2 linked regions of the Macaca fascicularis genome follow. The protein of the gene in region 2 interacts with the protein of the main gene of each other region in a pairwise test. Links are inferred from orthologs where the notes say so. Each region holds a gene or a part of one and is shown on either strand. Other genes may lie near its edges. The genes, in order: CIMIP5 and GSTA4.

The links.
Region 1: the proteins of GSTA4 (region 2) and CIMIP5 interact in binary tests that used the Homo sapiens proteins (3 or more experiments, as listed by UniProt). The two-hybrid records come from large-scale screens. The link is inferred for Macaca fascicularis from reciprocal best matches to the Homo sapiens genes GSTA4 and CIMIP5.

What each region holds. Positions count from the first base shown.
Region 1 is NC_088387.1:110,968,422-110,972,983, forward strand, and holds the start of CIMIP5 (ciliary microtubule inner protein 5), read right to left. Parts: upstream 3,028-4,562; 5' UTR 2,842-3,027; coding exon 2,582-2,841; intron 1,291-2,581; exon of another isoform or gene 1,190-1,290; intron 1-1,189.
Region 2 is NC_088378.1:118,790,232-118,794,044, reverse strand, and holds part of GSTA4 (glutathione S-transferase A4), read right to left. Parts: exon of another isoform or gene 3,664-3,813; coding exon 3,612-3,663; intron 1,827-3,611; coding exon 1,694-1,826; intron 821-1,693; coding exon 679-820; intron 1-678. UniProt on the Homo sapiens protein: Conjugation of reduced glutathione to a wide number of exogenous and endogenous hydrophobic electrophiles. This isozyme has a high catalytic efficiency with 4-hydroxyalkenals such as 4-hydroxynonenal (4-HNE).

The sequences.
Region 1 (4,562 bases), on a different chromosome or scaffold from region 2:
CAATTATTCCATGGATATGCCACACAAAGGACAGGAAACAAAAGCAGATAGACAGATGGGATTACATCAAACTCAAAAACTTCTGAAGAGCAAAGGAAACAAGCAACAAAGTGAAAAGGCAACGCACAGAATGGGAGACAACATTTACAGATCATATTTCTGATAAGGAGTTAATTTCCAAAATGTATAAGGAACTTCTACAACTTAGTAGCACAAAACCAAATAACCCAATTGAAAAAATGGGTTAAAGACTTGAACAGACATTTCTCCAAAGAAGATAAATAAATGGCCAATAAATATATGAAAAGATTATCAATGTCACTCATCATCAGAGAAATGCAAATCAAAACCACAGAGGTCAAACACGGTGGCTCATACCTGTAGTCCCAACACTTTGGGAGGCTGAGGCGTGTGGATCATCTGCTGTCAGGAGTTCAAGACCAGCCTGGCCGGAGCTTGCAGTGAGCTGAGATCGCACCACTGCACTCCAGCATGGGTGACAGAGCAAGACTCCGTCTCAAAAAAAAAAAAAAAAAAAAAAAAAAAGACCAGCCTGGCCAACATGGTAAAAACCTGTCTCTAATAAAAATACAAAAATTAGCCAGGAGTAGTGGAGGGCATCTGTCATCCTAGCTACTTGGGAGGCTGAGGCAGGAGAATTGCTTGAACCTGGGAGGCAGAGGTTGGAGTGAGCCGAGATCACGCCACCGTACTCCAGCCTGGGCGACAGAGGGAGACTTCATCTCAAAACGAAACAAAACAAAAAATCACAATGAGATACCACCTCACACCTATTAGGATGGTTGTTATCAAAAACCAAAAGACAATCAATGAGTGTTGGCCATTGTGTGGAGAAACTGGAATGCTGAGATACTGCTGATGGGAATGCAAAATGGTGCCACTGCTATGGAAAAGACAATGGAGGTTCCTCAAAAAATTAAAAATAGAGGTAGCATATAATCCTGCAATCCCTCCAATATGGTTTGAGTGTTTGTGCTCTCCAAATCTTATATTGAAATGTGATCCCGAGTGTTGAAGGTAGGGCCCAGTGGGAGGTGTTTGGGTCGTGACCGGCTTGGTGCCTTCCTTGCGGTAATGAATGAGCTCTTGCGCTATTAGTTCACAGGAGAGAGCTGGTTGTTAAAAAGAGCCTGAAACCTCCCCCTCTCTCTCTGGGTCCCTCTCTTACCATGCAACACGCCTGCTCCTCCTTCACCTTCTGCCATTATTGTAAGCTTCCCGAGACCCTCACCAGAAGCCAAGTGGATTCCAAGACTATGCTTGTACGGCCTGCAGAACGGTGAGCCAAATAAACTTATTTATAAATTACCCAGCCTCAGGTGTTCCTTGACAGCAATGCAAAATGGACTAAGACATCCATTTTTGAGAATTCATCCAAAAGAATTGAAACCACTCCCATGTCCATTGTAGCAATACATATAACAGTCAAATGTGGAAGCAACGTAAAGTCCATTGACAAATGAATAAAGAAACTGCACATATACACATTCAGCCTTAGAATGGGAGGAAATTCTGTAATACGCGACAAGATGGATGAATCCGGAGGACAGGATGCTAAGCTAACAAGACGGACATGGAAAGTCAAATATTGCACAATTCCACTTCTATGAGGCACTGAAAATACACTCCTGGGAGTAAAGACTAGAATGGTGGGTGCCAGAGGCTGGGAGGAGGGGGAATGGGGCGTTGCTAATCCACGGGTATGAAGTTTCAGCGGTGCAAGATGAGCGCTTCCTAGAATCTATCAGGCTGCTCATTTAAAAATGCTGTGTTCTTGCTTAAAGACCATGCCATGTACTTGCTTAAAATCCTGGATGGTGTCTCCTTTGGAAAAAATGCATCCAGACTTTTACGAGGGCTGGGGTGGCCCCCCCCCCCCCCCCCCGGCTGCTCCCCCTTATCCTGTGGCCTTCCTCACTCCCTGTGCCTCAGCTACACGAATTCTTTGTTTTGTTTTTTTAGATACGTCAAACTCTTGGCTCCTTCTCCTGTTTCATGTCTCAGCTTAAAAGTCTCCTCAGAGAGGCCTTCAGCCGGCTCTCCCCCTAACCCTGAACTGTTGTTTCCTTCTTACCGCTGGTCACATTTCTTACAGATTTGTACTTGTTTGCTTTTCTGCTTGCTTTTTGGCTGCCCTGTCCGGAGTATGAAGGCTCCGTGGAGCCATGGCCAGGTCAGTCCCTTGTTGCATCTGGTCTCCTTTCAGAGCGGCTCATGGGGATTTTTGGTTGAATGAAGGCATGAAGGAGCATCTTTCCCAGAGTCAGGTCAGATGGCCAGCGCCTCTCACCCAGACTAGGCCAGCAGGCTCCTGCTCCAGGGAGGCGGGGCTGCTCGGACCCAGCCGCATCTGATCCTGGCCTCCATCTTCCTGGCTTCCTAAGCTCAGGCTCGGGTCTGGCTCTGGGCTGGGCCGGTGACCCGCCTCCCCCCGGGCATGCCATGCTCTCTGTCCCTCAGCCCGGATCAGCTGCCCAGCCATCTCCCTTTCTCCAAAAGTTTCCCCAACTTGTAGTCAGGTTGCGGGGGTCAGGGTGGAGAAGGGAGGGCAGGCACTCACCAGCGCCGCTGGCCCCGACGCTCGGCCTCCAGGAGCTCCCGCCACAGCTGGTCCTGCTGCACGCCGCCACCGCAGGCAGCTCCCTGGGCCACCCGCTGCGCCTTCAGAGCCTGGGGGGCCTGACCGCCACCAGCAAGACCCTTGCTGGCCATAGGGCCAATCCGGGCAGCTGGGGAGACAGAGGTTGGCGGCCTGGTGGGGGACAATCGGTGCCCAGGTGATGTGGTTCTCTGGAGCCCAGGGGTGGGGTGGCTCCCCATGGGTGCAAGTGTGTGTGTGTGTGTGTGTGTGTGTGTGTGTGTGTGAGAGAGAGAGAGAGAGAGAGAGACTCCTGTGCCTGAGCTCAGCTCAAACCTCCTCCTGGAACACTCTCTCCCTCCTAACCCCGGGACAGCCTGGGCAGGGTCCTCCTCACTGTGGCTTTAGGCCTCGAGCTCAGAGTGGCCGATGGGGAGAGCATTTGAGCCCAGTTTTGTTTTGAACTCCCGCCTGTGTTGACTGTTGTCCTGGGAACGGGCAGCTCCCAGGAAAGAGGCGGGCCCCGTGTGTGCGTGCGGGTGTGTGCGTGTGTGTGTGTGTGTGTGTGTGTGTGTGTGTGTGTGTGTGTGTGTTTGTGATCTGAGCCCTAGGGCTGGGGGGCAGAGAGTTCTTGAGTAGATGCCACGCCCAGTTCAGCAGCCCCCTACCCCGAGGCCGGAGTCCTCCGAGCAGGGTAGGGGAGGAGGAGGGAGCGAAGCCGGGGCTCCTGGGGGCCACCCCCACCATTGTCGCACTTGGCTTCCGGCAGCCGCCTTCAGGCCGTGGGGCGATGATAGTCCTGTGCTGCCCCCTCGTGGATGCTGCGAGGCTTGCACGAGATGGTGGCCCTGAGGGCGCTCTGGGAATTGTGGATCAGGCATCAGTGTGAAGCTTCCTGCTTGTTTGGGAACAATGGCGGAGGTCATGAGCTTCTGTGGGGCGAGGGAAAATGAGTGCAATGCACTAGGAACATCCGCTCTGTCTGTAAACCCGGAGCGTTCACACAGCACTCTGCTTTATGTCTGAGACCTCCCAGCCATGCCTTTCCAACGCCATTCTACAGATGAGGAAACTGAGGCCCTTACCGGCAAGATTAAGTGACCGCCCACGGTCACACAGTCACCAGCTGAAGGGAACAGGGAGAACCTGAGGGCTCACGGTCCGAGCCCTCAGCCCTGTTTCTGTTCTAACTGGGTGCAGCCAGGCTCCCTCCGTGGCAGCCTCTCCTGGTCTGGCTCAGCTGAGCTCCAGGGATGCCCGCTGCTCTCATCACTTCTGCCTCCTGCACTCTCTGCTTCCCGTTCTCTGGGTTTCGTGCCGTTCCGGTAGGTGCTGGCAGATTCACAGTTCCTTCCACGCAGCTTCTCTGTGCGTCCATTCAGCTGGGCCGCTGCTTCCTATCGTTGTACAGGAAGAGCTAAGTGCAGACAAAACCCTGATGAATAGAGGCCTGGGCAGAGTGCCTGGGGTGCAGGGCAGCAGGGCAGCCAGTGAACCACAGGGCACTGTGGCCAGTCCTGTGTGCCCCTGCTGGATTCTGCTTCTGTGAGGGAGGCAGCAAGGAGTTGGGACTTCACAGGTGAAAGGACTTGCCAGGTAGAAAAACTGGGGTGACCACAAAAGCTTGGATGCAAGAGAGAGCCTGGCATTTTGGGAGATGTGTGGGAGGAGACAAGGACGGGGGTGGCAGGGCACATGGGGGCAGGCCCCGGGGTGTTTTCCACTGTATCCTGTACCCAGTGGGGAGATACTGATGGGCTGTGAGCCCCAACGGAACTGCAGGGAACAGAACCATCAGGAAAGGGGTAAGAAACAGGTGAGGTCGCCATTGCCATGGTGTGGGTAAGCAATGGCAATGAAGCCCCTACCGGGCTCAGGTGGAGGGCTGGCGTGGAGAAGACAGGGCTGAGAGCCAGGCCAGAAAGAGCTGCCAGCTTTGTCTTCCCACACTTGCGTGAGGATG
Region 2 (3,813 bases):
AAGATACCATAAAACCTAGCTACAGAAACCCCAGAAAATACCTCTCCTTTTTCCTAAATCTAGTTCCACAAAGATGGTCAGAGGAAGCTTGCCAGATAGGGCTTCCCATATTTTCACATCCTCTTATTTAGTGTTTGCACTGAAACACTAAAAATACTCCTCCCAGTTCAGGAATAAAGAATTGGAAGCTCAGAAAAGCAGATATAACAAGAAGAGAAAAACAACAAAACCAAAAACAAAAAGAGCAAAGGGAAGACAAATAAAATGGAAATGTTCTTCTCCTCATATCAAATTATCAGGGAGGATGTCAGCTATGAGATAGCTGTTCAACAACTGTTTGTTGAATGAATGAATGAGGCAGTTTCTGTTTTCTGTATCTTCTGAAGTTTCTGCTGTATCCACACAAGGTGGGAACTTGGTGAATGCAAGGAACAATAAGGGACACAGGCAGGGAGCCCATACTTTTTCTAGACTCCTGAATCATGTGGTCCTAGCAGAGTCTGAGGGGCTCTAAGACACCAGCTTTGTGCTGTGGCTACTATTAGCTCTTAGGAGTCCATTAGCTCTTAGGTTAGTCCAACTGGGCTCAGTTTTAAAATGCTTGGACAGAAAAGGGTGTTTGTGGCAGCTTCTTTGTGGTTTGGTTACTCTGTGTACACAGGCATCTCTGCCACCTACCTTTTCAAACACAGGAAAGTATCTAATTATAGCCTTCTGGGCCATGTTAACCACTTCCTTTTGTTGATCATCTGGTTTTAAGAAAGGATGCATGATAAGCAGTTCCAGCAGATCCAGCGTCCCCTCCACATACATGTCAATCCTTAAAACAAAAGAGCAGTTGTCTCAGTTTCTCCTCTCTTTGAAGCCATTGGTTTCCACAACTAAGAATTCAGAGTGCTTTTTTTTTTTTTTTTTTTTTTTTTTTTTTAAGATGCTGGCAACTTAAGTCCCTAGAAGCATTTACCTATACCTGTCTCTTAAGAGCAAAGAGATAAGGTCAATTCTAGTTGTAACTCACAAAAATCTGTCACAGATCAGACAGCTTGAGAGTCACGAGTGCTTTCTTCCTGGCATCCTACTCCTCCACCTTCACCCCAGCATCTGTGTTTTGGTCTCTTAGTATGGGTCAAACTTCATCTTCATGAAAGTAGTGAATACCATTTATTGAGTGCTTAGAGTGTACCAGGCATGGTGCTAAACACTCTCCATTCATTATCTCATTAAATCACATGACACTATGAGAGATGTACTATTCTTATACCCACGTTGCCCAGGGTCATACATCTAAGGGGTGCAAGGACCAGGCTTTGAATTCAAATTATAATCTAATGGTCTCTAATGGTCACTCTCCCAGGCCTTGAACATCACAGCAGTTCCTCATTCCTAATACTTAACAATAGTGAATGTGTAAGAAAGGTAAAAAGCAGTATCAAAGCATTTAAAAATGTTGAAATCTGAAACAATGACACCCTAGATATAGTATTCAACATCTGAATCCAATTATTTTCTTTTGTTTTACTCAGACTCTCTCTACTGAAGTTCCAACTGGTCTTCGTGACCTTCTTGGGTTTTTGCTCCCTGATCTCATAACTATGTAAGACATAAAGTAAATGTGGTGTGCTGCAGAGGACTGCTAATCAGCTAAGGCATCAGTAAGCTGACAAGTGACAACACTTGAGAGGGGCCACAGTACAGGGTTCTCTCCTTGAGGTCCTTGCCAAAGAGATTGTGCTTGTCTGCTATGTAGTGGAGAATGCTTCGGGTCTGTACCAACTTCATCCCGTCAATTTCAACCATAGGCACTTGTTGAAACAGCAGGTGGTTACCTGAGAATGGAAGCCCAGAGTTAGAAGTGATCTCTTCTTCTCTGTCCCCCAACCCCTAAAAAATGCTCTGTTGAATGAAAAGAAATGTGGAATCATGGCCTTAGGAAATAGTGTAAAGCTTCCAGATGACAGATAACTTTAACTTCATTCAGGAGAGCAGATTTAGCCACAAAAGAAACCTGAAGGGGTCAGGCACGGTGGCTCAAGCCTGTAATCCCAGCACTTTGGGAGGCCGAGGCAGGTGGATCATGAGGTCAGGAGTTCGAGACCAGCCTGGCCAATATCATGAAACCCCGCCTCTATTAAAACTAAAAAAATTAGCCGGGTGTGGTAGCTGATGCCTGTTATCCCAGCTACTTGGGAGGTTGAGGCAGGAGAATTGCTTGAACCCAGGAGGCGGAGGTTGCAATGAGCCGAGATCATGCCATTGTACTCCAGCCTGGGCGAAAGATCAAGACTCTGTCTCGGGGGAAAAAAAAAAAAAAAAGAAGAAGCCTGAAAACTAGCATTGTTATAAACGTTCCCTTTTCATTTTCACCCCAGGAAAAATACCTATCCACAGTGATAAGGGATTAAGGGGAATGTAGTGAAGATATTTCTTCAGTGCTACACAGGCCAATACAGCAGTCAAAGCTACATGCAGCTATATAAATCTAAATTTAAATTAATTACAATTTTTAAAACTTAAAATTCAGTTCCTCAGTTGCACTAGACATATTTCATGTACTCAACAGTCACACGTGCCTAGTGGCTACCATATTGGACAGTGCAGAATACAATGTTTCCTTCACTGTAGAATGTTCTGCTGGACAGCAGTGTTTTTAGAGAATCTGATCATGAAACCTAAGTAACTAGCTGAGACTCATGTATACTCTTTGGCTCATGTATACTCTGTGGCTACTCTGTAGCCACAGAACAGATTGTTTACTACCAAGTCCGCTGTCACTAGTTAAAAAAACAACCCATTGTTTTCTTTAACAAATCTGAATCCAACACTTTCCACATACCAAACCCTGGGGAGAGATGCCTGTATAGGGTACAGCTTGGCCCTTGAGGGTTTGGGCATTCTGAAGGGGTGAGGGTAGAGGGGAAAGGAGTACTTAGCACATGCCTAGTGGCTTCCAGCCACCGTCGCACACAAAAGGTGGCCTTACAGCCCTGGAGTGCTGGTACCATACAAGGGAGCCTCCAGCTGGGCCTGAGGACCCTGCTGTTGGCTGGGAGGGAGGCTGCTCACAGGTTGATGGGTGCACTCTTTATGGGTCTACTGGTGGCTCCTGCTATAATGGATGGGCAAGGAGGGAGCAGGGCTGACCAGGAATTAAAGGTGAAGGGAGGGGCAGTTCGTCGATTTCGCTTCTGTGTGGTATTCACTTCAGAAAGTATCCCCATCGCGGGTATTTATTTGCATACTTCAAACAGGCCAGGATGCCTCAGATAGTATGAAGGAAGTAGGGAAAGATGAGAAGGAGGGAAAGGGCAAGGGAGAGAAAGAAAGGGGGAGGAGGAGATTAGAGGGGAGAGAGGGGAGAAGAAAGGGATGGAGGAGAGCTGTTCACTTGGGTGGGGAAGGAACTACTCACCCCCTTCAGCCAGCTTTTATGGAACTATTGAATAAGAAGTGATTTCCTGGCAATTTCAACTATTTATTCCCTCTTGCTTTTTTTGGTTTTAGGATACTGTTCTGAATGTTCAGTGTCATTGAATATTTTTGCCCTCCCACATAAACAGCAGTTCTTAAAGGAAAATCAGTATTAGAGGCAGTTGTTTCATTTTCATACTCACCATCCTGCAACTTGTGTAACTGTTCTTTTGTTTCCAGAAATTCTTCATCAAACTAAATTTTAAAAAAAGAAATGTATACATACATAGTGGAATATTATTCAGCCATTAAAAAAACAAAATCCTGTCATTTTCAGCAACACGGACAGAAACAGAGGTCATTACGTTAAGTGAAATAAGCCAGACACAGGAAGACAAAGACTGA